Drosophila melanogaster: one gene and its partners. Changing the gene in region 2 together with the main gene of any one other region gives a genetic interaction. Each region holds a gene or a part of one and is shown on either strand. Other genes may lie near its edges.

Region 1 (8,164 bases), on a different chromosome or scaffold from region 2:
TGTTTTCCGCGCTCGTTCCGTTTCGTATCGTATCGTATCGGTTAAAAATAGTATGTTTTGAAAAAGTTTTATTTTCGGCGTCAACGTCAACGCAGCGAAGGGAAGTGGGCGGGCCGGGGGCGGAGAAGGACGGTACGGGATTGGTACATATTTGAAATAATTTTGAGAAATAGCGCGAATTCGGATCGGAAATCGGAACTGATCCGGTAAATATAGATCGATATACTCTCGGTTCGTTCCTTTTATTGTGTCTAGTTTTTTATTGGTAGCACTTTGACTCTCCACATAGATCATATATACGCACATATTGTTCGGATATATATATATAAAGATATATGTGGTTTGGCATATATAACCATCGCACGCACACACACACACACCTCACACACATGCACAGTTTTCGTTACTTATATTTTGCTTTGCTCGTTTTTTTTAATATTTCGTTTTTATATTTATTTTTCAAACAAGTACAAAAAAATAACCCAAAAAAAAAAGAAAATAGAGTATAACGAAAGCAAGTGAGTCGGTTAGCCAGATATATATATATGTACACATATATATATCTATATCTACTCGTGTGTGTGTAGTCGAACCAAACAAAAACAAAAACAACAAAACAATCTGTGTGGACAGCAATTGGAGCAATATCTACGTGTGTCGCTTGCGAAGAGAAAGACCCGCTCGCGTTGATAGCCAACTCAAAACTGATGTCGCGCCAGCCAGCTGCTAACTCTGAATACCGTCGCAGTCGTCGTCGCAGTCGCAGTCACCGCCGCTGCCGTCGGCGCACCAACACACACCACACCAACCCCCCCATCCGACCCACCTGCCCCACATCGCCCACCGCACCACAGCAGCCGTCGCAGAGGAAGAAGAAAAGTCTGCCGTGCAGCGGGAGCATCGGATCGAATCGGATCAGTTTGGATCGCTTGCCATAGCCGAAGACCCCAACATCCGAGCATCCGAGCATCCAAGCATCCAAGCATCCGAGCATCCAAGCATCCGAACATGCGAACATCCGAGTCACGAAGAGTGGAGCGGCAAGAGTGCCGGAGTGGGAGTGGGTGGCAGAAGAAAGTATGAATTCGGCCAGCATAAGCGTACGATTCGTGGGACCCTTTAGTTGAACGATGAAGTGCGGGCATGCTGCTTTCGTGGACTTTCACTCGTCTCGTTTAGAAATCAACACAATTCCGATACATTCTGATTATGATGAATATACGTATATGTACGAATGTCCTGAACATGAGTTTGTTGAACGATCAGGTAATTAGGACCTGGGTATGAGCCAAATAGTCTGGCCATTGGACTGTCTTCTAAAAGCAATGGGTATCGCCAGTTCCGAACTCCTTCTTTCTGCTTTTTGCTCATTTGCAGCTGCGGTGCTGCCTGCTCCCCTTGCTTTTGCTGCGGCTGTGACGAAGAGAGCTCTCGGACGGACGCCCATTAGTGAAATTGGTAGGAAAATGCAGTTGCAGGCGACACGAAGTAACGCAAAGAAAGTAAGAGAGCTCAAAAGGGGCACCCTGTATGGCGTATGCTGTGCGCGATATGCGAAGACGACAACAACTTGTTGGCCCCTACGTCAGCGCGTCTGACGCCCCACCTCCTTGGTTTTCTCCTCGTCTGTCAGCGAGTCTCCGCGGTTCAGACAGCATCCACCCATAGTCCCCTCGTGGGTCTTTGGCAAACGCCCCCGCATAACTACGAAAATAGCAAATTGTTAATTTCGCTTCGAAAACTCTTTTCCAATACACACACGAAATCGCAAATCGTCGAAGGAAATGGTGGTGGGTATTTGGAGGAGGAGGGGAGGGGACACATGATTTTATTGGCATGCTTTCATGGTTTTTCCGTGCGAAACATTTCATTTTTCATTCCACATTTTTTAACACGCTGCTACATAGGACTATTTGTGTGGGCTTCTTCTTGTCGGTGGAGAGAGATGAAATTTATGAAATTTATTAAATATGCTCGCCACACACAAAATCAAGGATAGCTATTAGCTAAACCAATAAAAACCACCCACAATAAGTGTGGACACACTGCCGTCTCTCTCTAACATTCTACCCCTCTCTTTCACTCTGTGTGGGAGCTTTCAAAAGCTCTAGATCATTTGTGTGAATGGAGAATCTGAGAATACGTTCATGTTAAATAGCCAGGATCTCCGACGGCTAAGTATTGTATCCGTCGACTTGTCCCAATTTACAGATATTCCTTTGGGGCGAGATATACAGATAAGATACAACGATATAGAAAGAGATAGAGCCTCAATTTGGCTATTTATAGAACATAATGTGCGTCGTCAGCGGCGAGTTTTGTTCTTTTTTCAAAAACAATATCTATTCTTAGTCGCTGCTTGTGCGTTAATACCATATTTTTGTAAATACATACTAACATACATTCCCGCTGAGACATAAATTTTATAAAAATTGACCAAATGCCATCTGAGAGGCCGCAACATCAAGGTGAGGAGTGGGGACCATCAGGCGATGGTCCACAAACCAAAAATCAATGCCTAGGGGACGCGAACAAGGCGTACAGTGCGGTTCGAAAGCGAAAAGCGATCCTTTCATAATCACAATAGAAGGGATTTCTAGTTGGTTAACATTTTACACATTATAAGTACAAGATCGTGAAATCGTTGGGATCATCTTTTGAATGAAATGAATTAAATTTAGACTGGCTATTTTCGAAGAGTTTCCGCAGTGAACTTTATTTATTACCTCCACCTAATTATATCACAGATATATTAAAAAAAAAAAGAAAGCCACCCAAGGGGCCGGCAGAATAACTAATTTAACTAGTAATACAAAACTTGTTAGGCGGAACAGAACATAGTATGATTTATAATAATAAAACTGAAATATTGAAACATCCGCGCAAATAGGCATGGATGTATATACATTTCCGCCTTCGAGAAAGTCACTCGATTTCTTCTTACAGTCCTGAAACGCACCGCTTATATACGCAAATAAAGCCATATATTTGTGTGGACAATGGGATTAATCGCAGATCCGCAGATAAAACGACCATATATCTTGTTATGCAGTTTATATTTTTTATACATAGATATATTTTGTTGGTTTTCGTCGGTGATTTTTGTATCTCGCATCTAATTGATAACGTTTTGGGTAAATTTATGTTAAAAAGTAATTACAATTGATTTAGAACGGGGCCAGCACCGCAGATATGCGCCTGCTGACATATATATTTATGCTGAATTTGTATGTTTACATACGTCTGTAGATCATAACTATGCATTAATTTTAACCGTTATTTTAATATCTTTACTCGTTTAGCTTTAGTTTAACTTTTACTTTTACTTTGCTTGTGTGCATTTTCTCGTTCGTGTTTTGTGTTCTTTTCAAGTTTTGGATTTTGTTTGTTTTTCGTTTACTGGGACATAAACGTCGAGGAGGCTAATCTTCATCTTAAGGAAAACATTTTCTATATCAATAATAATAATAATATTAGGTAATAAAAAAAAAATAAACAATTACATACACATTTTGCGTAATATTAGGGGGCTTTTGTAGGGTATAAGGGATAGAGAGGAGAAATGCAAACAAACGCAATCACAATGAAACATTTTTCGGATGGAGAACGGGGGAGACTTTAGAGTCGGGACCCTACTCCAGTTTCATCGCCAGGCCGGGTGGCGGCGGCGCCTCCAGCTGCTCGAGAAAGAGCTCCTCCAGCGGCCGGTCGCTGGTAATGCGGAAGAGGAACAGGTGATCCTGGCACTTCAGGCTGATCGATCGCAAAGCGGGCAGACGCAGCAGCAGTTGCGCAAAGCGTCCATCGTCGCCCGGATGTTCCAGGCGGCAGTGCTCGTCCAGGCAAGCGTACACCTTCTCGCGGCACATCTCGATCTCCGCCCGGCTCTTGATCCCGCGTATGTCCGGGTTGTACAGTATGATGGCCTTCAAGCAGGACAGCTCGCGTCGGTCGAGATTCAGCCGCTTCATCTTTACACTCAGCTCCGACAATATGCGGTCGAAGATGGCTGACACACCGGCTTTGATCGCACTGTTGCGATGGTACGAGAAGCTCTGGTTGAGGAACAGCTGCTGGGGCTGAAGGCCCGGTGATCGTCGCTCAAAGGAGCCATCGTGGCCTAGTCCACCGCCCCCGCCGCCGGCACCGCCGTCATCCAGCGAAACGATGCTGCACCAGGCCACGTTCGCAATGAGCAGCTCGATCCAAGCGGCTTTCAGCAGAATCACCTGGTCGTCCAGCGGCACCTGGGCAAAGTGCGGCATCATGCGCGCGTATTCGACCATCTGGAAGAGCTGTTTGTTGACCACTTGGCACAGGGCCGACACGGCACCCTTGTAGTCCGGCTGGACTGTGGAATAGGGACCAACGCGCAGGAACGTCAGTGCACGATCGCCGCATTGGGTCTCCGCTCGCTGCTCGGCCTCTATGATGCGCTCGATCGAGAAATCCCTGGACACGCTATTGGTCATGAAGTCATCAGAACCGTTGCCGCTGCCCATTCCGCCAGAAACGCCGCCTCCTCCTCCTCCGCCTTGAGAGCTGGATCCGCCTACCGAACCTGGACCGCTACTGCCGCCTCCGCTGGCGCTGAGCCTACCCGCCGCATTGCGGGCGCCGCGTTGACGCTCCTCCTGGACCGCTTCGCGCTTCATGCCGCAGGTTAGGCACTTCTGGTAGCGGCAGTACTGGCAGCGGTTCCTCTGCCGCTTGTCTATGATGCAGTTGCGGTTCTCCCTGCAAGCGTATGTGAGATCCTTGCGCACTGTGCGTTTAAAGAAGCCCTTGCAGCCCTCACAGCTGTACACGCCGTAGTGCTTGCCACTGGCCCGATCCCCGCAAATAGAGCAGAGGTGCTTGCTGCCGCTCAGCGGATGGTTAGGCGGATACTGCTGCTGGACTGCAGCGGCGGCAGAGCCTCCAGCCGAATTGGGCGCCTGCGCCATTTGGGCATCTCCAGCGCTGTTGTTGTTGGAGCTGGCGGAGTTGGAGCCGGGCAGCACGTGGACCATGGACATGGCCTGCATGAAGGGCACGGGACTCTCGGCCTTGGGCGAAAAGCTGCTGTTGTTGCTGTCGTTCAGCTGCGAGATGTCCGGCTTGACCTCCTCCTTGATGTGGCTCAGCCGAAAGCTGGCGTCCTGGTCGCAGTTGTCCATCCTGGGCTTGTGATGTGGTGCTGGGTATATTGGAGGAACTGGGGGCAGCGCCTCCTCCGCCTACCGGTTTCTTCTTGCTCGTTCTCTTCGTGTGTATGTGGTGTGTCTTGGCTCGCTTTCGCCTCTCTGTTGGGGTTTCACTTTGCCAACGCCACCGTGTCCGTCCGTCCGCTATTGGTCCGTTGGGCCAAGTGGAGCAGGTTGCAGTTTCGTTGTTGGTGGGGTCGTTGCTGCATTTACATAATCTTGAGCCGATGGAGCAGCGCACTTTATTCGCTCGCCTCCAAACAATTGCGCTTTTTACCAACAAACAAAGAATGCCAGACTTTCTGACTAATGAATAAATACCTTTTTTCGCGTCGACATTTTTTCTCAACAAAGACAATCTCACCACAGCGACGCAACTCACCAACGTAGGGATGGACTGTGACACAGGTTGCGTCGTCACGAGTCACAGTCACGACTGTTAAACACTGTATAAAATTAACAACGGCGATGGTATTACCTTAAGTCATATGGTATATAACGCATCTATAAAATTACATACTCCTCTTTTTAATTAATGCACGACATAAGTACATATATCGGTCTCCCAATTGAAGCACGGATTCGTGACTGGGCGCAATCGCATCTCTAATTCACCACAAAGTGGACAGGGCTGTTTTCCCACTCACAGAAACAGTTTTAAGTGGGCGTTAATGACCCAATTAAAGCGCTAATGCCCATCGCACCTGCCGCAAAAATAAGTGTTTTTACTTTGATAACCAATGCGCAATCAATCAATTAATTAATTTAGTCGAAAACCAGAAAACGGGAGTAGCGACAGCCCTGGCGGCGCCATTGCAAAACTCACCGCACCTACGGCGCATGCAACCCTGAGTCAGTCTGGCTCCCCTCCTCACCGCCTTGCAAACCACACAGTGCACAAATAATTTAGCGCCGCTGCAATTATGCAGAATAGAAATGCAAAATGGAGACGTGAATGTGCGCCAATTTCACCGCTGCCGGCGGCAACCTCGGCCTCAAATCGCAAACGCCGTCGCCGAGAATCGAGCGGTTAGGCTGCTGAACCGTGAATCCCAAGACCAAACGGAACCAGAATTGGGCGAAATGCAAATGGAAGTGCAACTTACTTGCAGCCAGTGGCTTTTGATGCGCCGCAAGGTGACGGTTGTTTATTTACTTTTTTCCTTGGCTATCAGTTATCAGTGCTCGCGAGCACACACACACACAGGCACGTCACTGACACGACAACACCACACGACGCTGATTTAATTTGTTGCAATCTCTATTGTAATTGTAGTAATTGAGTCCATCCCATCATCACAAAGAGACGCGACGCGGTAATTGGCATTCGCAAGAAGAAGCATTTCGCGAAACAACAGCTGACAGCGTGGTGAGAAAGCGATTGCGGGGGGCGAAGAACTGGTTTGTCTGTGGTGAGTATACTGTCGCGGTGAGTTGCCTTGGTTCGGTAAAAAACAATGGCACATTATAGGCTGTTTCCACTTCGCTTAATGGTCAGAAAATCTGAAAATTAATCCGTCATGGATATTTATGTATTTTATATATTTATGCGATAGTTAGACCGCAGTAAATTTCTAAAAAATGAATTTCCGCGATGACCAAGAAGCAGGGATTCAGTAATTCAAGAGCACCCTAACATCTGCCTTAAAATTCGATACCGGTTTAGAACAAAAATGGGAGATTCAAAATTTATATAGAAAAAAATTTGCTTAACACTATCAAATTAAGAAGCTTATTTTAAAACAGTTTAAGGGAATGGAAATAGAGTTTTCACATCAAAATTGACATTCAGGACATATATTCTTAATATTTATTTGATTATTGGTATACAAAAAATACACTAATATGTGATATTTTCTATCAGTTTAATTTTCTGATATCGCAATTTGGGGCCTCAGCCCTAAACAATTTATTTCTATTTGGGTCTATTATCTTGTCAAACCCTTTAGTTGCTAACCCTGTACCTACCGCTTCCTTTATAATGAAATGTATCGAGTTCTTTTGTTTAGCTCAGCCTTATTACGTTTTGCCTGTCGGTTTCGCAAATATTCGGTTTTGATTGGTTTTCAGGCGAATAGTACGATAAGCAAATGCGACTCGTTTGTTTGTTTACGGCTTTTAATCAACATCCGAATCCGAACATTCATGTAGTTTGCTGAGTTCAGCATTGAGGACAGTAAGGGCTCCGATCCGCTGGTTAAGATATTCGATCTCTTCTCGGTACACGCCCGTCTCGTAAAGTAGATTCTCGTACTCCCTCATAATTCCAATATAATCGTCACTGCTGCTGTTGTCGTTACTGTTGTTGTTGTTGCTGCTGCAGCTGCTGCTGCTGCTGCTGTGACCTTGGCTCCGATTATGGCCGCCCCAACTGCCACCCTGAGCCGATGCACTTTCCGGAAACTCCTCAAAGTCCAGATAAAGCTGAAAGTAGGCGGCATCCTGGCTGCGGCAGATAGGGCAAGTCCTTGATCTGCAAAGCAGACGGAATCCGCGTATAAGACAAAACGTTTGAGCTCGGCGATAAGATTTGGGGCACTGCCACTGATTTAAATCACTTTTGTATCATTTTCATTTCTGATTGGTGCATAAATTAGAATATTATATCAGTGGCACATTTCATTTTCGTTATAGCTCTCAAGTCCTTAGGATCACTTTTACTTACTGCTTTCTCCAGTGGTCTAGGCAGTCCTCGTGGAACGCGTGTCCGCAGCTGCCGGCTTGTATATTGTCCGAGGTGCGAAACCGCTCCGAGCAGATCGTGCAGATGACGTTGTTACGGCCCATTCCGCTCCGGTTGACTTATACCTAGGTCGATTCGATTCGCTCCGATCCAATCAGGTTCGATCTCCCTGTGCCGTATTGTTGCTCGGCCGGTGACAGGGGACTGAATGAATGCAAGTCGCTGAATCGAGCGTTTTGCTGATAAGCGTCCAGGCAGCCACAGTACACTCCACTCGGTCCTCCTCTTGTCGTCA
Region 2 (12,086 bases):
TCCTGAAAAACCTACAGCTGCAGCACCTGAATATCGAGGCCCAGTTCTTTGAGGACGTCTACAAGCTGGAGCAGAAGTACCAGGTGCAGTACCAGCCGTTGTTCGATAAGCGCAGGGAGATCATCGAGGGCAAGGTGGACCCCGCCGAGGAGAAGCCCCAGTGGAAGGAACCGGAGTCGTCGACCGACAACGAGGCCGATGCCGAGCACTTCCGCGAGGCCCTGAGCAGTTTGAAAAGTATTCCCAAGGATGCCAAGGGCATTCCCGGCTTCTGGCTGACGGTGTTCCGCAACACGGCCATAATGTCTGAGATGGTGCAGCCGCACGACGAGCCCGCCATCCGCAAGCTAATCGATATTTCCATCAAGTACGACAACGGGGTGAGTTTGCTGGCCAATAGTTCTAGTAGTCCTGCCCGTCTAAACCGCTTCTTTATTCATTAGCATTCGTACACCTTGGAGTTTCACTTCGACAAGAACGAGTACTTCTCCAACTCAGTTCTCACAAAGCAGTACGTTTTGAAGTCCACCGTGGATCCCAACGATCCGTTCGCATTTGAAGGCCCAGAGATCTACAAGTGCACGGTGAGCTATCTGCACTCTCGAGGGCAACAAGGGATTTCTAATCGAAACAAAACCAATTACAGGGGTGCACCATTAACTGGGAGAAGAAGATGAACCTTACTGTGAAGACCATCCGCAAGAAGCAGAAGCACAAGGAGCGCGGCGCAGTGCGCACCATTGTGAAGCAGGTTCCGACGGATTCCTTCTTCAATTTCTTCAGCCCACCAGAGGTCCCGAGCGACCAGGAGGAAGTCGACGACGACTCCCAGCAGGTAAGCTCACCCAACAACAGTTTCCGCAAGGCCACTTGCTCATCCGTGTTCGCTTCCTCGCAGATCCTGGCCACCGACTTCGAAATTGGTCACTTCTTGCGCGCCAGAATTATTCCAAAAGCAGTGCTTTACTACACTGGCGACATCGTCGACGATGAGGACGATGAGGACGAAGAGGAGTATGACGAGAACGAGGAGGATGAGTACGACGACGACGATGCACCGCCACCAAAGGGCCCCAAATCAGCCGGTATCAAGAAGCAGTCGCCCAACGACTGCCCGAATCAGTAGGTTGATGTGGCTGGATTACACATGTGTAATGTATATACATAATTCAAATTTGATTTGAAATATATTTTTGGTGAATAAAAATAAAAACAACAATTACAAACGATATGAGCTGAACTCGAATAAACCTACATGATATTAGAATATGGTTGACTTTGATTTAAAAAACATAAGCCTCCTGAGGTTGCTATTCTTGAACCAAGTGTTTTCTCCCAATACTCAGTCAAGCACCGCCTTTGGTCAGCAGCTTTAGCTGTTTCTTGGACAAGTTGTAGGGGTAGTGCAGGCTAGTGGGCACGAAGATCTGCCCCGTGACCTGGCTGTCGAAGTTCTCCTCGTAGCCCACCGTGTAGCCATCTGGTATCTTGGCCGTCTTTTGCCAGGTGAAGCACTCCGGCGGTGTGTAGTTCACGGCGTAGAAGGGATAGTCGAACGTGTTGATGTATATGTCGACGCAGAGACCATGGCTGCCCAGGTGAAGCTGACTGGCCACCGAGGGCTGCTTGAGGCCGCAGCTGCCGAGCATTATGTTGCGGTGGCAGGAGTAGACGAAGGTGCCCTTGTCGCGGCTCGAGTGGAAGCACTGCACATGCTTGCCGGCCTTGGAGTGGTCGACTGCAATGGGATCGAACCCGGGTCCGGCCATATCGCACGCTGCAGTTCAATACAATAATTACTGGGTGTGGCTAAGATAACGCTCAAGATACCGACTGTCTATGCTCTCGATAATGTGGTGTGGCCGTAGGGATCTTCCCACCGCCGAAGCCAGTTGTCCGCCGAAGCTGAAGCCAAACATATAGCCTCGTTTTGGATCGAATCCCTGCCTGAACAGTGTTAGGATAATGGACGATATGGCGCCGGTGAGGGTGTCAAAGTTTGTGTACAGCCTTTAAAAGTCGGATAATGAGAATTTGGGGTCAGACTACTACTACTACCCACCGCATGTACGAGGAACTGGCGACCACACTGTAGTCTATGCATATCACGCATCCGCCGCGGTAGTAACTGAGTCCTAAAATGCATATTTCGAGTAGCTTTCAACTTTGGCATTGAAAAAAATGCAAAAAATGCTCACTTTCAATAAGCGACAGCGCCCACTCGTCCGAACAACTTTGGATCCATCCATGCAGAACTATGGCAAACTTGTCCGTGGGCGAGCAACCCGAGCCACTGAGATCGTAGGCATCGTCGTAGGCCGAAGTCTCCATGGTTTTGGTGTTGTTCTTGTAGAACATCACCTTCATGGTCTTCTGGGCATCATATTTGATTCTCTGCTGGTGGGCTTCATAAACAAAAACATCGACATGATACGCTCGTCCAGCAGAAACTTTCTCCCACATCCATACCCAAAGTGTCATTTTGCGTTGCCTTTGCTGCTTGCTTTTGCCTCAAAATGGCATATTTAAGATTCAGTTTCGAGTGCGTTCCATCAATTAAGAGAACACAGCAAACAATTAGGATTGAGTGGAAACTACTGAACAACTGCATTATCTGGTCATCTGGATGGTTAGCTGAAAATAAAAAGTAACAACAGTGCAAACCGCGTAGAAAACCAGTTTTCTGTGCCGAAGAGATACAAATTCGATATGGTATACGGCAATCGATGAAGAATGGGGTTTGGCGCCAAAAGAGGCTGCATTCAAAAGTGGCGCTTTCTATTAAATATTGCATTTTCTTTATTTCAATTTAAACGATTCCGCTTCTCCTATGTAGAGCACTTTTCATTGTCATCAAAATCTAGGGAGTTGAGAACATTGACGTCCAGTTCTGGGTCCGCGTACTCCAGGATATTGAAGTCGTCTCCCATTTCGGAAGTGAGCGACTTGAGTAGGTCGTCGTCGTCGCCCTCGCCGAGTCCTCCCAGAAGGTCGCTGAATCCGACATTCTCCAACTCCACGGCGGAAGAGGTTGCCTCCTGCGGCTCGCCCAACTTCACATCCTGCTCCAAGGACCTGCCTTCAGATGGCTGAGATTTTCCACTTATGCTCAGCATGGGATTGTTCTGCGTAATGGGTGTGTTCTGCATCATTCCCAGCCGCATTACATCGTTGCCCAAGAACAAGTCCGAGTTGGCCCCCATGAGCATCGGCTCCGTGCTGTTCTTCTGCAGCAGGTTCCTGAGCTTCTTGTCGCCAATGGGTTCCGTGCCGTACACCGCCGTGTTCAACTCCAGCCTATTGTCCACGGTGGTCATTTTCAAGGTGCTGGCTGCTGTCGTGTGCACCTGAGTCCTTTGCATCGTGGCCTTAATCACCAGATTATCGTTAACGTTCGGCATCACGTGATGCGGATTGGGATTATTGGACGCTGCCTGCGCCGAGCCACCAACATAGTTGCCCATATCGTAGGCGTTTCCATCTAGACGAAAAAACAAGGGTTAGAGCAACTAAAACAAGTCTTGAGCTGCAGCACTTACTGTACGTGACAAACATGTTCGGCTGGTCTTCCTTCAGCTTGGGCGGTTGTTTCCACACTCTTCCCATTTCCTCCTGCTTCTGTGGTTTCGGTGGCATAGGTATTTTGTTCTGTTCCCGCCTCTGCCGCAGTGCTGAGCGATTGTCCTTGGCCTTCTGCAAGAACGGCGCCTTCTTCTCGTTGCACAGCGAGCGCCACCTCTTCAGAATCTGCTTGCAGCGGTCGTTCCAAATCGGAAACAACTCCTTCAGGTTGGGATGCTCAGTATTGGCATACAGCACGGCCGAAATGGTGGCCATGAGCCCAAGATCTGCAAAACAAATGGGGTGATGAGCATTTGAATCCTACACTATTTAAATGCACCCTCATACCCTCATCCTTGCGCATTTTCTCCGCCGTCTTTTGAGTGCCAGCGTTCAGGGTTTCCGTCACGGGCTCCACAACCTTCTGCTCCTCCTCTGGTCTCTTTTCGGTTTGCAAAACGACTTGGCTCATTATAGTTTGCATATTCTGCTTATTGGCATTTTGTGGTGCCTGCTGACGGAACTGAAGCTGCTGGGCGGGATTAACCAAAGTATTTCCGCCCAAATATAGCTGATTGTGAAACTTCTGTTCCTGTGGCAACTGGTTGGGGACCATGAAACTGTCGACCAGGACCGCAGGTGATTCCCTTTGAGAAAGAAAAAAGAACAAATTAATAAGCTTAGAATAGACTGGCATATGGACATGAGGCTCACCGCATTGGTTTTTCAATGACTTCAGCTGATGGAACCGTACTAACAGAGTTAGCCATGTCCAGTTCCGGAACATTTGGTGAAGCCAACGCATCCAAAGGATGCCGGTTAGCAAAGACAGTGTTCGAAATCTCCGCTTGCAAGGGATCTGCAAAAATGGTAAACGATACAACCTGGGAATAAAGTGGTCAGTGGGTTGGTTAAACATTTACCAAAAACATTAGACACTGGCGTCGTTCCGTTTTTGTTCTGGATTCCCATGGGCATTTGCTGAATGAAAACAGTTTTGTTCTCAGTTTTCAACTCAGCTTTAACTTTCTTCACGGTCTTCGCTGGACTCTTGTTCACCGCCAGTGTGTCCTGGTTGGCAGGACTCTTGCCCTCGGGCCGCGTGAAGTAAACCTTCATGGACGCATCAATTTCGTCAGAGGAATCTGTATCGGCCATGACAAGCTCTCCACCTTCCAGCAGAGGTTTTCCGAAGAAGGCCTCTTGCAAGTACACGGGATAGGCTTCAATCAGCTTGTTCTTCTGCTTCTTTCGTATGATTTTCTTCTTTTTGTCCATGGTCATAAGGGAATTTATTTGGTCAACGGCCGTCGTCTCCTCGCTGTCCTTCTTGAGACCTCGGTTGCGAACGGAGAATCCACCAATGCCCAGCTTCTGCAGATTGCGCTGTCGCTTCTTGCGTAATATGTTCACTCCCTCGTCGTTAATGGAGATGGTGAAACCCTCGGGAATAGCGTTCTCCGTCCCATCCCAGACCATGCCGTCTTTGTACTTTTCCAGCGCTTCCTCGGCGGCGGCCTCCAATTGTCCATCCTTGCCATTGCCGAGGGCTTGTCGCATTTTGCGCTTGCGTTTGATCTCCGTGGACAATGACTTGATCATGCCCAATCCGCTTTCGCTCAGGCACACTCCGTCAATCCAGTGGAGCGCTTCTGGAGCAGACTCGGGCATATCGCCGGATAAGGTAGGATGATTTCGCTCGGCACCACTCTTAGAATCGAAAGACGGCCCGGAGGAGGCTGTGATGTGCACAAATGGTTTGCTGCCCTGGGGAGTTATGGCCAGCGAATCCTCGTTACCAAACTTGGCATCCGCCAGGGAGTTAGTGCTCCTCGTCGAGCAGCGGCACTTGAAACACTTGTACACATTGTTGTCGTAGTGGTCAATGGTCAGCTGGGCATTGACAGAGTCGCAGTGGAAGTGCGCCCATAGCTCGCAGTGCTCGCACTGGATGATCATCTCGCCGTTGCTGTACGAGACTTTGCAGACGGGACACGAGGATTGGCTGGTGCAGGATGGGCACTCGAGCATGTTGGAGTCCCCGAACTCGCTCTTCTCGGTGGGATTGCGACCGCATTTCTGGCACAGTGTACAGAACGAGCACTTCCAGTTGCCCGTGGGCACGGTTTCCAGCGGAGGATTCACACAGTAAATGTGATACGAAATGTCGCACTCGTCGCACAGGAGCAGGCGCGCCTCGTCGTTCTTCTTGCCACATCCCTCGCACACTGTGCAGTCCAGGCATCGCCAACCCTTCTGCAGGATGCCTCGCGAAGGCTTCACGCCGGCGCAGTACGGATGATAGCATTGGCCGCACTGTGCGCAGGTGATCATCACGGAATCGCTCTCAATGCCCAGCGAGCCGCACATTACGCAGATGTCTTGCGCTTGGATAAACTTATCCCGCGCCGAGCAGAGCAGCAGCTTTTTGTCGCTGGTCAGATCTGTTTCCATGCTGCGACTCAGGCAGCGATCGCTCGAGATGGTGGGCAGCGCAAGCTGGCGCCCCTTGCCTCGGGTGCTGCGTTTCTTGTTGATCTGCGACATCACACCCATGCGGTGTAGGACGAACTTTCCGCTTCTACCGCGAACACTCGTAAGGCACACTTTTTTCTTGCCGGTGGGTAGCTTGTGGAGCTCATCGCTCGATGGATCCATTGTGGGTTTGCCCTCCAGCGGGTCAAGTTCGATTTCCTTGAGGCTCAGTTGCTCCGACGACGAATCCATGGCGGACAGCACGATCGAGTCGATTGTCTGTTGGGATGATCCCGGGCCCGACGAATTACTCTTGCAATTCGGACACACGTAGTCGTAATCTGGGTTTTGCTCCTTCTTCTTGTGGTAGGCCGTTAAATCCGCCTCTTCGTCACACGTACTGTGCACAAATCTGAAACGAATCCATATAATAAGCAAGACTAATCAGGCAGAAGCGAGTGAAACGTACTTGTTGCACCAGCTGCACTTGACCATTTCCTTGTGCGATGCTGCCCTGTACGCTTTCTGGCAAATCGGGCAGGAAAAGCCCTTGTTCCGCTGCTGATAGCACGAATCGCAGATTGTGTAGTGGCTATGCCAGCGGGAGGAGCTGCCGCCGCCAGGAGTTCTTGAACCACAATCCGTACAGACGCGACAGCGCTAGAAGGAACATAAATACCATAAGTATTGGATAACACTTAATATCCGTCAATATCTGCTTACATTGCACTTCCAGCCATATTTGGGGATGGCTGAGATAACTGGTCGCAAGCAGGAGGCGTGGTAAGTCTTCTGGCATTGCTCACACTTAACGTACTTGGTGTCGTTCGAGTCTTGCTGCCTGCAAATCTGGCATTTTGTGCAACGGGCGCAGTTCCACCCAGAACGCGTATCTATGGAAGCATTAAACATGTAAACATGTAAACCAATGGTACGATGGTACTTGACAGTAGTTACCCGGCAAATTGGCCAGACCAATGCAGGTCGAATGAAAGTGGTCTCCGCAGGTACTACACATGATCAGCTTGGACAGATCCCCCAGCGAGGAGCAGGACAGACACTCCACATTATTGTCGCTGCCTGTAAGTCATTTGTTTCCATTAGTTTCTGTGAGAGTTTGCTGCCCAAGAATCACTTACATATCACAGGCACCTGGCTCAAATGTTCCGTGCAGAAGACCGTAAAGCTCTCGAGGATCAGAAGGCACCCAGCAGCGGCGGCACACGGCCAATGGTGCACCTGGCGGCAGTTCATCTTGCAGTTGATGGAGGCCCCGTAGCGTCCACAAAAGTTGCACTTTTGCTCCAGGAACTCCGCGAAGTGGGTGGCAAAGTACGCGCCATCTGCATCGCTTATCTGACTTTTGCGCAGCGACCACATGATGCACATGCGGTGCACGTAGACGAACCCCTCGTCAAGAAATTCGGCGGGATGCACGACGTCCGGCTGTCCAATCTTGTCCAGCTCGTAGTGACAATCGCCCGAACTAGAAGCGGCCTGCTTAGGCCCGTATAACAGCCTGGATCCGTCCTCCCTCAGCCGATCCGTCGGATATTTATCCTTGATCTCGGCGGGCGCGGGCGCCTTCAGTTGTAGAATCTCGCCCTGGCCCAAGGCACTCTTCTCGCCGAGATTGCATAAACAGCACACCTTGCCCGGAAACTTCTCCGGGAAGTACGGCAGGTCGTCGGCCACCGCCTTCTCCTCCATGCTCACAACAACGTTCGTGCTCATCGCGGATTGATGCGTTTCATTAAAATAACAAAAAATAGCCGCCGCTTATTTTGTATACATTACTCGACAGCTAAATAAAATGTCAACGTGCATCGCGCCCCAATGTTATCGAACAGGCGTCAATGTTGTCGAGAACGATGTGCGTTCGTTTGCAGAGCGAGTAGTACAATTATTAGATATAAATATAAAAGTCTTCCTTATATTACAAAGTATTTATACTTTTAAATGGCAAATCAAATATAACATCATATTTTAATTTTTTTTATGCGGCTACAAATTAATTAATTAATTTCTGAAATTATACATTATAAATAATAATACACTTACATTAGGCTGTCACGCCTACATATCGATATACCTTTACCAATCGCATTCAGCTGATCAAAGTGCAACTCTGCAATCCAGCCCTGGAAAAATACCGTACTCCAGTTCTTCAAACTGGAAAAATGATGGCACAACTAAGTTAAACACACAGAAGTAGAAAATGTAAATAAAAGCACAATTATAGACTATTCTGTTAGCATGGCTGTGTATCGTCCCCGCGGCACCCTGGCCAGGGTAATCCACGCCAAATTCCACAACGACAACTCTCTGGAGGACATAGACACTCGGAAGGTAACTCGAAATCCCGAAACAATATGATTTTTCCTAAATTCTGGATGCATTTCAGTGGTACTGCCTGAACCACGAGCTGCCGCCGAGATTCCAGTCCAAGTTCGTGCCGCTCGAGCCGGATGCCACCACCGTGAGCTGGCTGGAGCGCACCAAGGCGCTTTCGGCAAACATCTGGACCCACTTGTGGCACGCCCTGGCTCGCTCAATCCTGCAGTTCTTCATGACCCAGACGGACATCAACGGGTTCCTGAAGCGCGGCTCCATGTTCATACTGTCCGAGGAACAGTTTCGCAAGCTGCTAGTAGCAGGCGGCTTTCAGCCTGCCAGCGGTCAAGAACCTGTAAGATGAGTAAAAGCCTTTAGTCTTGACCACTACTCATCTGCCATCATATCGTAGGTCACGTTGCTGGATATCGGAGCCGGGGACGGTGAGATTTCGCTGCGCGTGGCCAACACCGTTTCCGAGCTGAGCGGAAGTGCCGGGCTGCGGGTCTTCGCCACCGAGGCCAGTTGGACCATGCGCGATCGGCTGAAGAAGCTGAACTTCAACGTAATCACCGAGATAGACGGTCTGCAGAACCTGGAATTGATTCTGTGCCTCAACGTATTGGACCGCTGCTTCGATTCATTCAAGCTGCTCGAGGACATTCACCTGGCACTAGCTCCCAATGGTCGAGCAGTTGTGGCCTTAGTACTTCCCTACATGCACTACGTGGAGACGAATACCTCGCATCTGCCGCTGCGCCCGCTGCTGGAGAACAACGGGCGACAGGCGTCGTTCGAGGAGGAGGCGGCCAGGTTTATGGAGCTGCTGGAGAACTGTGGCTACCGCGTGGAGGCATGGACCAAGGCGCCGTACTTGTGCGAGGGTGATCTCCACCAGTCGTTCTATTGGTTAATCGATTTAATTGTTGTCATTTCCAAGAAGACATTCTAGATCAAAGCTTCCACATCCTAAAAAGAACCCTTCTGAAGTTATTGTAACCGTTTTCCTCGTAGAGTTAAGTGGCTGCATTGAGAAACTGAGCATTTATACTTATTACAAATGTAGGCTATCAACTAGTTAAACAATTTATTCTTAAAGAATTACCAAAAATGTAAATGGATAAACAAACATGTTTAAATTAAAGGGCGACATTCAAAGCCGCGTTCGAAACTGAATACTGTTCTCGATATTATCAACTAATTGTAGTTATTCTACAGTCTTGGGTAGTTTTAATGCATCTAACTTGATACTTGTGGCAGTAATCAGGTAACTTAGAATATGTATTTGACGAGCAGCTGTTTAATAACAAATGTCAGTATTGTCGAAGGTATTATGTGTACTAAACTAAGCCTTATATAGTCTTTGGTAGTCATTGGCATTTTTTTTTGCTTGTGAAAATAACCTCGAGGTAGTTATTGGCATACACAATCCTCTCGGTATCTTCTGGTGCTGGATTGTGCAGTGGCAATATTTCACGATAGGGATTGCCCATTATATTGTAGGCTCTCTCGATGGCAATCTTGCTCTTCTCAGCGGACAATGTGATGGCCGCGAAATCGGAAATTGCCTGAGCCCTTGAAATCGAAGTGTAGCAAATGGGAACACCAAAAGATCGAATAACACTTGACAAGCAAGGCTTCCATTCGTTTTCGAGTGGAACCTTCCTTTTCATATACCTAGAAATTCTCTGGGTTACTTTACCGACTCCGAAGAAATCGGGTTGCATGATGAGAATCAAGGTGGGATCCACATTTAGAATACAGGAATATTGTGAAAATGACAGGGGGTAAAAGCATTTCACCACGGTTTGTTCAAAGCTCCTGTCGCTGAATTTGATATCCACTTGGTCGATGCGCCCAACGGTTCTTCCAATGAAGTGTAATTCCAGATTACGAATGCTTGGGTACTGCAGGAACAGAAAACGCAGGTGCATGTCCTCGAAGTAGCGCAAAGTGTCCTCGGTGGCGCCGGCCACGTAGACTATGACAGCTTTATTCGGATCTGGGACCCAGGAAATGTGCGACAGGGCCAGGCACAGACTTGCGATGCCGCTGAAGGAGGAACAGGTAGCGAATAGCTGGTACGATTCCAGATCGGTCCAAGGAGTGTCGCTGATCCGTATGTCGGTGGCTTCGGTGAAAGCCTTGATTAGATTAGACTCTTTTAGTGGGCAACTGCGGTAGAAGTCCTTGATATTCACTAGACAGTTCAACTGACGAAACGGAGTGGCAATCAGAGCCAGGGTCTGGCAATCCTCCGGGGTGTGATAGCCCCTGACTAGGCGTTGGTGTGCCGCGGAGCAGAAGGCCACTCCGGCACATCCTTCACAGTCCTCGAGAGCTTCAGTGCTGAAGCACACATCGCACACGGCTGGGTTGCCGATTAGCTGATGCTCCCGCTGATTCAGTGGTCTGCCCAACTTGGCCAGCAGGACCATCTTTAGCTGCGAAATGACGAGCTGAAGCTTCCTGCGATCGGTGATTTGGCCGAGCAGCTTCAACGGGTGATCGATCTTCATGGACTTCTGCAGATCCCTCAGCACCTCGCAGAGTGGCTTGTGTTCTTGACGATCCGCCACGAGATGGGACAGGCTGCAGTATCGCTGCATATTGCAGCCTCTGCATATCACGCTGGGCTTCACATGTGCTTTCTCCAGAAGCGTTTGCAGGTGAGCAAGGTTCTTTTCCACCTTGTCCGATTCCTTGGTGAAACCTTGTATCAATTCTGTCCAAGTCCTGCCCTCATCGGAGACGCAGACGAAGCACTTCAGAAAGGATCCCACTGGTGGATCTACCGGCGCCATCATTTTGCAATGCTCAGATTCCTGAAAACGATGTTACTGCATCATGTGTCAAGCTCTCTAGAATGTCCATTTACTCATTACCTTGACCAAGTTTCCTTTTATTCATTCAATTCGAGCATTTAATGTGCCAAAACAGTCGAAACTGTTTAAAAGTTGAGCATGATATCTGCGTACCGGTCAAAAAAAGCGCTCTTGCAATGTGGATTTAAAGAACTAGTTCCAAAGATCTAGATACCAGAGCCTTGTCGTAATTGCCAGAAATGGCACAGATATTTCAAGTTCTACTTTCCTAATATTTGGCTAACTAACTAAGTGACTAACTTCTTTGATAGAATCTATTTTTTTTTACTAGAATAATTGGATATAGGTTCCACTTGTGAACTTTAGAATTTCTTCTAGTTCGAGCCGAAAGTGCCATCTCTATCGGTTCCACATCATGTTTGCATTTGTTGGCTTTTCGGCTTTGTTTTGATTTTTGTAAATAAAAAGGAACAGAAAATGGCTGAAACTTTTGCCGAGGAAAAGCCCAAGGAGAAGTCCAAGGCAAGCAGGCGCAAGGACAAGAAGGACAAGACCAATCAGATCGTTAAGGTACCGTCCAGACTGTCTTAATCCCACGATCCTCCGAAACTAATGCATTCATTGCAGATTGTGATGCGGCATTTGCCGCCGACCATGACGGAGGCGCAGTTCCTGGATCAGGTGGGTCCTTTGCCGGAGAACGACTCGTATTACTACTGCAAGGCAGACTGGTCGCTGGGCCAGGAGGCCACCTGTCGCGCCTACATCGATATGTCCTCCAAGGACATAGGCGAGGTGGTGCAGTTCCGGGATCGCTTCGACGGCTACGTCTTCGTCGACCACAAGGGCGTCGAGTACATGGCCATCGTGGAGTATGCTCCCTTCCAGTGC
Region 3 (9,402 bases), on a different chromosome or scaffold from region 2:
CATACCATGTACATACACATATACATAATAGTTATAACATATATCAATTTAGAACATATTCAACACCCTATTTTTGAGTCGTAAGCGACAACAACTATTCATTCCGCCTCTCATATTGTGCCATATAATCAAAGGATAACACGGGTTGCCCCCTCACTTACTTAATGGTGGTAATGTCACGTTCTCGTCCTGGTCGAGAGTCAAAATCTGTATATGAGTGCGGCTCACATTGTGCGGCGGAATCAACAGTTGGTGCGTATACCACACGTATTTTTCGTGGCGCATTTGGGGCGGTGGAAACTCTCGATTTCACTGTACTTCGGCACACAAGTCACGAGCAGGCGGCAATCGCTCCCATTGCTCCAGTGTGCGTATGTTGCGTATACGCATGGCTGTCACTCGAAGGATACGAGCTCCCCGCTCCCTGTCCATACTTTAATTTCAACCCATCCCAGAGGATAGCATTTTTCTCATGCTTCGGCAATGAGGCAAACACGAGGGCGTACACGCAGCGAAAATTTGAAGTCAATTGGAGTGGTTTGACCTACAAATAACGTGTGAAATACTATTGAAACCCAAAGGTTTTTAGAGCTACACTTACGTGGAATGCGAAGTAATTTCAATTTTCATTGGTTTGCAGTTAGAAGTCTAACTTGGTCTGAGTATTTTCTCGATGTGTATTAACGGGATGCTGTCGCTGGCGCTTCGCTTGGTCGGCTGCTCCAGCTGCTCCAGTCGCATTTCGCATCTGAAAGCGCCCGCAAGTAGGTTACACATTTTTTCGTCGAGCAAAACAAACAGCGCACCTCTGCCCGCCGTCCAGCTCATCCGATCCCGATCCCATTGGCCACAGACGAACTGAGTAAGTGGAACTAACTAACAAAATCCAGCACCGAAATCGGTTGGCCACGGATGACACCGCTTTGGTCGCGGTGCCTGGGATTAGGTGGGCTATTCTCGCAGGGGGGGTGGCATTCGTTGGGGGTGTGTCATTGGGGCAACACAAAGAATAGTGAAAGTGCAGTGGGAGCGAGCGAGAGGCAAGAGGTCGAGAGTTGAAAGGACAGGCAGAGAGTTGCGACTAATTGAGTTATAGGAAAAGAGTACCCACATGTATGTACCTAGACTTTTGCAAACGAAAATTAAAATTAAAAAAATTAATAGTGCTTAAATGTACGGTTGTAATGTAATGCGTACTTACCATTCGAATTTAGTTTATATTTTAAATCATCGAGATCTATTAGTAATAATATTATTAATAAGCTCCTCCCATAGATCTTCTTTACCATCCGCAGACAATTCGGCGATTGCAGCGGCTGTGACACCATGGAGTACAAGATGATTGCACCGGAGCACAGTGAACAGGTGATGGAGCATCTGCGGCGCAACTTCTTTGCCGACGAGCCGCTAAACAAGGCCGCCGGCTTGTGCCAGAACGGCAGCAGTTGCCCCGCCCTGGAGGCGCACTGTGCCGAGGCCATACAGCACCGGATGAGCGTGATGGCTGTGGACGCAAAGGAGAAGGATACCTTGAAAATAGTCGGCGTCGTCCTCAATGGCATCCTGAAGCCGGGCGACACGGCCAAGGCGCTGAGCAAGCTGGACTGCAACGACGATGCAGATTTCCGCAAGATTTTCGACTTGCTGCACAGGCACAATCTCAAGCACAATCTCTTCGAGCACTTCGACGTGGACTGCATGTTCGATGTGCGCATCCTATCGGTGGACTCGTGCTACCGTGGCCAGGGGATTGCGAATGAGCTGGTCAAGCGGTCCGTGGCGGTGGCCAAAAAGAATGGCTTTCGCCTGCTGAAGGCCGATGCCACCGGCATCTTCTCGCAGAAGATCTTTCGTTCCCATGGCTTTGAGGTCTTCTCGGAGCAACCCTACAGCAAGTATACGGATGAGAATGGCAAGGTGATCTTGCCCGTGGAGGCGCCCCACATCAAATTGCAGCAGCTCTACAAGGCGATCTGCGCGGATGACCAGGATGAGAAGAAGCAGTCGCTTTAAGGAGTCACCCGGCTGGCTCACATTTGGAACAATAATCTCATTTATTTTCTACATATACATACATTGCATAATCGTTATTGGAATGTTTTCGTACTACAAATATGGAAATTAGTTGGGGGGCGTTTAACGGAAAGTTAAAGCTAGGGAACAATTACTATTGTTCTGTGTTTAAACATAACTATGAAATAACATTGGATTTTCGGACTTTCCGTCGACGGTTTTTGGAGCGTCAATGGAACGCCTCTATAATGTACGAGTAGACGCTGCCTGGCACGTTTACATAAATATAATTTTGTAATTGTTTTTTTTTGTATGGGGACCAACTGCTAACAATACCTAAATAAAGTACACTGTTGTGCCAAAGTTAACCAGACAGCTTTTTCTCTTACCTCCCACTCGAAGTCCCCCCCTACAAGGTCTCCTCCTAAAGTCCTAATATCACAAGCGCAGATTCCAATCATCCGTTCTCATCACCTGGCAACCTGGCGACGGCAGGTACTTCTGTTCATCTGTTCATCAATTCATCTGTTCATTTGTTCATCTGTTCCGCTGGTTTATCCATCTACTACTCCCTAGTTTCCTTCTTCTCGTATATGAAAATGATGTCCTCGTCCGTGCCGTAGGCGCGTCGGGCCGTGTCCATGGACTCGATGAGGCAGCGACAAATGTCTGTGGAACGCAGCCAAAAACGAAAATCAATGAATTTTCAAGGATTGCTACCAAATGGAATACTCACGGCCATCGTGGACCTCGGGATTGTGGTAGAAGAGCTTCTGGGCGGCCATGTCATATCCGCAGAGCACCACATAGTGTCCGGCATACCTTTTGGGTCCATGGAGGCGTGTATTTTGAGCAATGCAGGGTATATGAAAACAGCTTTTCATTCGAGTGTGGATTTAAGGTGGTTTTTTGTGAATCGCCGGTGGCAAGAGGAACTCACCCGAACTTCTCTAGGACATTGCGCTTGCACACCTCGCACGTGAGCAGCGAGGCGTTGGTCAGCAGGATGACGGGTCCGTGGCGGGCCAAATGCCGCAGAATGACCTCCATGTCCACGGTGCGCTGTTCAACGCGCAGTCCATGGGCCCGGGCGTCCTTGAACTTGCGCGTCACGCGCCGTTCGTCCTTGTCGATGATCTTGGAGTAGTACGTGTGCTGCGCGTAGTTGGGATCGATCCCGAGCGTTTGGGTGAAGTACTCGTGGCGCACCTGGCCAAGAAGAGAGTGTCAAAGAAGTGAGCGAATGCAAATGTGCATCACGGCATGCCCACCTGGTAGCGCATCAGCAGATAGCACAGGTCGATGGTCCAGGTGCTCGAGCCAAATCCCTCCTCGCCGCACACGGCATCAAAGTTCCCAAGAAGCTGTTCCCTTTGCTGCGCCGACAGGATCATAATGATGCAGGACAGACCGCAGTCCCAGTTGTAGCGCTGCTGGTAGTGCGTCAGGTTGTAGTGCTTGCTCGGCGGCAGTCCGTTCATTCTGGCCAGCAGCTGGGCTCTTCTTGGCTTCTTGTGCTCCTCGGGTCCTCGAGTCCTTGGCTCCGTGTGCTTCGCGTGCTCCTGTGCCCGCGGCTGCGCTCCTTTGATCCTGGCGTCCAATTGGAAACTGAACTGGGAATGTTTTGGTCTAACAGCTTGGGCCAGTGTGGCCAGGTGCAGCTGTCTGCGGAATGCCAACTGTCGGCTATGTCCAGTTGAAAAAAATGCCAATTGAATTTTTTTAGATATATATTGTAAATATTGTAATTAAATAATATTTATACATAAATTGTGAGTCGCCAAAGGAGTTAGATGTATTTTCCTACAAATCTTGGTTGCTGCTAGGAAATTTTTGGTTTGAAATCTTAAAGGCGCAAAAAATGTTCTAACACTATGTAAATCCTTCTTAAGCCCTTCAAAATTGACAGTTCAGTTAGAATTACCTGCAATTTTAAGACTAAATAACTACTGGCAATTGGTATAAATTTAAATGCAACTGTACGCGAAACTTCAAACATGTATGAAACGATCTGGCAACGTCGAGCTAACTGCATGCAATTTGGCATCGATGTGCCCGATGCACTCCCCCTGATAGTTTCAGCGGGAAACTAAGAGTCCCATTCTAGAATCATCCCCCAAGGACGAAAACATCCCAAATCTCCCTAAAAAAAAAAACAAAAAGCAAGGAATCGAGTAAACACGTTCCACCACCGCTGTGGCAATCCGTGGCTGGTGCGCAACGGCCACACTGACGCGCTGACCAATTTTTAGTTATTAGTGTGACCTTAAGCATTATTATTTTCACGTGTGGCACGCAAACGAGCCAAAAAACCAAGCGCCTATTTAAACAAACAAATCACACGCCCAGCAGAGAGAGCAGCCGGTGACCACCGGTAACGGGAGTAGCTGCAGTTAATCCGACAGGCCCAACAAATTCGCCCGCTAATTGGCGGCGTTTCTCTAGTCGGAACAACAAGAAGAAGAAGCACGTGTGCGGCGTGCCAAAGAAAAAAGGAAAATAAACAAGGAGGCCAGGCCAAGGAGCATAAGCAGAATCCGCATCCGGAGGACATGGTGCCCATCGGAGCCGTGCACGGCGGCCATCCCGGCGTAGTGCATCCGCCACAGCAACCACTGCCCACGGCGCCCAGCGGCCCAAACTCGCTGCAGCCGAACTCGGTGGGCCAGCCGGGGGCCACCACCTCCTCGAACAGCAGCGCCTCCAACAAGAGCTCGCTATCCGTCAAGCCCAACTACACGCTCAAGTTCACGCTGGCCGGGCACACCAAGGCGGTGTCGGCGGTCAAGTTCAGTCCGAATGGCGAGTGGCTGGCCAGCTCCTGTAAGTACATACATCCCTATCCACGAATATCTGGGGGGGAATTTTATGGTACTGAACTGCTATTGGACTGAACAGGCAGCTTTGGCAGCTCAGTTAATGGGAATTGGGATGAAATAAGATCTCGGAAAAGAGAAGAAGCATTTATAGAATACATATTGTACATTCCATACATACAGCACATGCCTATTAAACTTCCACTTCTAACCCTCAGCCGCTGATAAACTAATCAAAATCTGGGGAGCATACGATGGCAAGTTCGAGAAGACCATTTCGGGCCACAAGCTGGGCATCAGCGATGTGGCCTGGAGCTCAGACTCGCGACTCCTCGTGAGCGGCAGTGATGACAAGACGCTCAAGGTCTGGGAGCTGAGCACCGGGAAGAGCTTGAAAACTCTGAAGGGCCACAGCAACTATGTGTTCTGCTGCAACTTTAATCCGCAGTCCAATCTGATCGTCTCCGGCAGCTTCGACGAGAGCGTTCGCATATGGGATGTGCGCACCGGCAAGTGTCTGAAGACTCTACCCGCCCATTCCGATCCCGTTTCGGCGGTACATTTCAATCGCGACGGATCGCTGATCGTGAGCAGCAGCTACGACGGCCTCTGTCGCATATGGGACACGGCCAGTGGACAGTGCTTGAAAACCCTGATCGACGACGACAATCCGCCCGTCAGCTTTGTAAAGTTCTCGCCCAATGGCAAGTACATTTTGGCCGCCACGCTGGATAATACGCTCAAGTTGTGGGACTACTCGAAGGGCAAGTGCCTGAAGACGTATACGGGTCACAAGAATGAGAAGTACTGCATATTCGCCAACTTCTCGGTGACGGGAGGAAAGGTGAGTTCATATCTTATGCACATTTAGGCTTTAACTCACAAGCGTCCATTGTAGTGGATCGTGAGTGGCAGCGAGGACAACATGGTCTACATTTGGAATCTGCAGAGCAAGGAGGTGGTGCAAAAGCTGCAGGGACACACCGATACCGTTCTGTGCACCGCCTGCCATCCCACGGAGAACATCATTGCTTCCGCGGCGCTCGAGAACGACAAGACCATCAAGCTGTGGAAGTCGGATACATAGAGTGGCTGGTATCCAGCTGGAGGACGTTCGATCGGAACACACACATACATTTCTTGGATAATATTATTTTAAAGCGAACAGCCTAATCGTAATTGTAACACCCCCACACCCCCCCACCACGAGCCCCCTTTTTTTTTTGTACGCATAATTTAAAAAAGAAAAGGAACTCTAAAATTCTACGTTTAAATCACACTTTAAACCTCACATTCTACGGCAAAACGGAAAAATTACAAACAAACAAACAAAAACAAAAAAAAAAAACAACAAAAAGTGAAAACAAAAAAAACGATTAATGTATAAATATTTATTAGCCTATTGTATTGGCCCACCATGCAAGCGAGAATATTCCCCCAAAATTGTTTGTAACCTTTGACACAGCCACGCAAACCAACATAACTTATAATGATCTTTCGGTGACGAGAAAACTAAATTTAAGCGTAAAAGATACAACAGGTGCTCGGGGCAGAATCCCAGCGCCAGAAAGAATATATATAAAATACGAAATGTAAATTTTGAATAAAAGAAAACACCGTCTCGGCGGCGCCCAAGTGTCCTTTCAACTTGCGCGCTTTTCGAGGCGAGACACTTAAATGTACAAATTGCATTTTATTCACATAATAAGAGAAGTTTTAATTCTAAAAAAACATACAGTTTAGCAAAATTACGAAACAAACGAACCTTCATTACGGTTTAAAAGCGATAATAAGTACGTTTAATATATTACGGTTTTTAAATGAATGAACACAGGTATAATACTTAACGTAGACGTTTTCTTTAAGTTATTTATTTTTAAACTCTAGCGCCTATTGGAGTGCGACCCTGCGTTGAGTTCGGTTGAAGAGGGCCACACTGCCCGTTCAGTTTGAACGTTTGCCACTGGATTTCGACAACGGCGCGCGACGGTCACTTGGCGAAACGAAAATCGAAAAAACCGACGAATCGAAACTCGGAGATCACGGATTCGATTCACTTGATTCAGAACCTTGCCGAATCCGAATGCCCCTGCGATGCGCGCGCCAACCCGCTGAACAAAAGTCGCCAAGTGAATTTTGCAATTAATTTGCAAATCAATATCGCTCCGCCGCCGTCGCGCACACACACACACACGCAAGCACCCGCACCGCGCACACATACACACACACACACACACATAGGGACCGCGACACGCATAGTGAGAAAGAAGTGGCAATATAAGCAAAAAAAAGAAAAAAAATACAACGGTCGTGGGAAAATCGATTTTCCTTTTAAACAAATCGCTGTTAGCTTGAGCTTTTCCAAGCGCCTCTGCTGCAATTCCTTCGTTTTTTTTTCCTGTGCAAAGTACGCCGAGAGAGCGGCGTGAACCGGTGCAGAGAGAGAGAGATTAAGTGAGAAGGGGTGAGAGAGTGGAAGAAGGTGTTCATTGGCAGAAAATTAGCAAGGCGACAAACGTTTATAAATATAAACACATATATTCCAATATAAAAATCGCAAATATTAATGACGAGACAAGAGCGCCTGCAACAACAGCAACAACTGCAACAACAGCAGCCCAGCAACCAGGGATTCTAATTCGAAAATAACCCAAACAAATCCAAATCGGCGGGAGCGACAAGGAGGAGAGGAGAGTGCTAAAGAGAGGCGCCAACAAAAGTGTATCATTTAGGAGCGGCACACCCAAGAACGCGGAAAACTCCCGCCCACCCTCGCCACGCCCCTCGCCGACCAGCACACCCATTACCAATACCAATAACAGCAATAATAACAACAACAACAATAACAACAACAGTCTGCAGTGAAGAAACGCAGAGGAAAAGACAGGCGGAGACAGATATAAAACCCAAACATTCGGACACTCGCTCTTCTTCTTCCCAATCCGTTTTGGCATGGAAAACATGGTGAGCAAAGAAAAGCAAGTTGTTAACTTTTCAGGGGCGTAAATCGACAGGGGTTAAGCGCTAATATTCATCGAGCTAAATGTCCGCTTGACGAACTAGTTTAATGAGCTTAACTACCCAATTATTAAACCCATTTAACTGCGCCCTTGGCTAGCCACCCCCCTCACTTTCGACGCCCTTGGACCGCCTATTAGCACATTTCGGTTAACAGCAGTTGTTGTCGCCGTGTGTGTACATATGTGCACAGTGGCGGGCAAGAAAGTAGGTCCTAAGTACAGAGATTTCCAATAATTGCGAGCAGTGTCTTAACTACTGTCCTTACCCGCCCATGTCCTTATTACTTAAGATGAGCAGCATTACCAAATCAGACATTGACAGTACTTTAGTCTTAGACTTTGCATCACAGCCGTGTCTGTTTGGCGCACTGCTCGCGTGTTTTTGTGTAATTTCGCTCCCATGTGGCAATGTGACCTGTTAACTTGGAAAGTTACCCGGTGGATCTCGTGACTCTCGTCTACATCCAATATTCATAGCCAGCGGCGAATGTCCTTGAGCAAGGGGTTGGCCCCCATTTTAACCCCCCGATGGGCGCAGCAGGGCGTGCGCCTAACCCTTATGCCGCCGCTCCCTCGATGACGTACAGTCAACACGGCGATTGAAAGAACGCAGGATGTTTATGATGCTTATGATGCTTATGATGTGCATATGTGCATAACATAAATATATATTCCCAACGAATCCATTGACTACTCAGCGATGCAAACAAAGTTAGCAACGTATTTAGGGCGCAAGAACGGTTTCCGTTGAACGGAAACGTTGACTTTAGCAAACAATTGGGATTGTATTTCGGTTTCAAATAAACATACATAAAGTAGGTTTCCAAGATTCTTAGGCCCTAAGCTAGGTGATACTTTTAGTAAACGTTGATAAACACGAATGAGGAGCAACGACCATATAATGTCCTCCTAAGACAACGCCAACAGCAACTTGATCCGCTGCACTTTCTGTCGAGCTGCTGCAGATAAGGAGAAATGTAGGCTTTAGCTGGTAAACAAACTGGAAAACAGTAGAATGTGGCACACCTTTGTGGCGCGCTTACTTTGCCGACGAAGGAACTTTCCGTTTAGCTCTGGCTACTATATTTGCCATTGTGTTTACTCGGCGGACTGCTCTGTGCAATCCAGTTGTCCATTTGCCCTAATCGAAGGGGATGGGCCAACCGTTTGCATGGCCCCTTTTGTAACTGCCGGCCACATTTTACTTGTGGCCACCATAAGCGAGTGGCTGATTGCGTGCTCTGCTCGCGCTTATCTACGCACGGACACAGACGCATGTTTGTCGCTGTTTGCTCAGTCCATTGCGATAAGCGATTTGGTTCTCTGCTTTTGGTCTCTGGTCTCTTTTGTTTCTTTTGTGCCAGCCGTCGATTTGTGGCCAAAAGGCTGGTGCCTGCGCTGCTTAGTGGGCTGGTGACATAGCATGTGTGGTGCTCGGTCCATGTCCTTGTTGCTATTTTGCCTCACCTCCTGACCTGGCCATGATGTCATGTCGATGGTAGCACGTGCCTGACCCACTGCTAATGTGCGCTCCTAGTTTTCGACATGCAATT

Evidence for each region.
Region 1: of Lpt (region 2) and usp, changing one suppresses a phenotype caused by changing the other (phenotypic suppression), as found in Drosophila melanogaster (one study listed by BioGRID).
Region 3: of Lpt (region 2) and wds, changing one suppresses a phenotype caused by changing the other (phenotypic suppression), as found in Drosophila melanogaster (one study listed by BioGRID).

What each region holds. Positions count from the first base shown.
Region 1 is NC_004354.4:2,035,755-2,043,918, forward strand, and holds usp (ultraspiracle), read right to left. Parts: upstream 6,558-8,164; 5' UTR 6,293-6,557; exon of another isoform or gene 6,114-6,292; intron 5,891-6,113; 5' UTR 5,707-5,890; intron 5,633-5,706; 5' UTR 5,160-5,632; coding exon 3,633-5,159; 3' UTR 3,044-3,632; downstream 1-3,043. Other genes in the region: CG4325 (uncharacterized protein), read right to left, coding at 7,305-7,659, 7,852-7,973. UniProt on the Drosophila melanogaster protein: Receptor for ecdysone. May be an important modulator of insect metamorphosis. Plays an important part in embryonic and post-embryonic development. Binds to ecdysone response elements (ECRES) such as in the promoter region of s15 chorion gene.
Region 2 is NT_033778.4:23,894,354-23,906,439, reverse strand, and holds Lpt (lost PHDs of trr), read right to left. Parts: upstream 7,880-12,086; 5' UTR 7,771-7,879; coding exon 7,176-7,770; intron 7,117-7,175; coding exon 6,994-7,116; intron 6,930-6,993; coding exon 6,760-6,929; intron 6,697-6,759; coding exon 6,506-6,696; intron 6,449-6,505; coding exon 4,485-6,448; intron 4,421-4,484; coding exon 4,276-4,420; intron 4,209-4,275; coding exon 3,910-4,208; intron 3,849-3,909; coding exon 3,540-3,848; intron 3,482-3,539; coding exon 2,829-3,481; 3' UTR 2,779-2,828; downstream 1-2,778. Other genes in the region: Nap1 (nucleosome assembly protein 1), read left to right, coding at 1-380, 444-584, 647-835, 899-1,126; CG13562 (uncharacterized protein), read right to left, coding at 1,347-1,777, 1,835-2,010, 2,063-2,135, 2,199-2,405, 2,470-2,611; CG5339 (uncharacterized protein), read left to right, coding at 8,293-8,385, 8,441-8,725, 8,783-9,322; CG17658 (uncharacterized protein), read right to left, coding at 9,741-11,177; Upf3, read left to right, coding at 11,673-11,765, 11,823-12,086.
Region 3 is NC_004354.4:2,581,714-2,591,115, forward strand, and holds wds (will die slowly), read left to right. Parts: upstream 1-4,266; 5' UTR 4,267-4,565; coding exon 4,566-4,836; intron 4,837-5,047; coding exon 5,048-5,673; intron 5,674-5,727; coding exon 5,728-5,916; 3' UTR 5,917-6,504; downstream 6,505-9,402. Other genes in the region: AANATL7 (arylalkylamine N-acetyltransferase-like 7), read left to right, coding at 1,327-2,013; CG13760 (uncharacterized protein), read right to left, coding at 2,579-2,682, 2,750-2,889, 2,954-3,222, 3,285-3,494.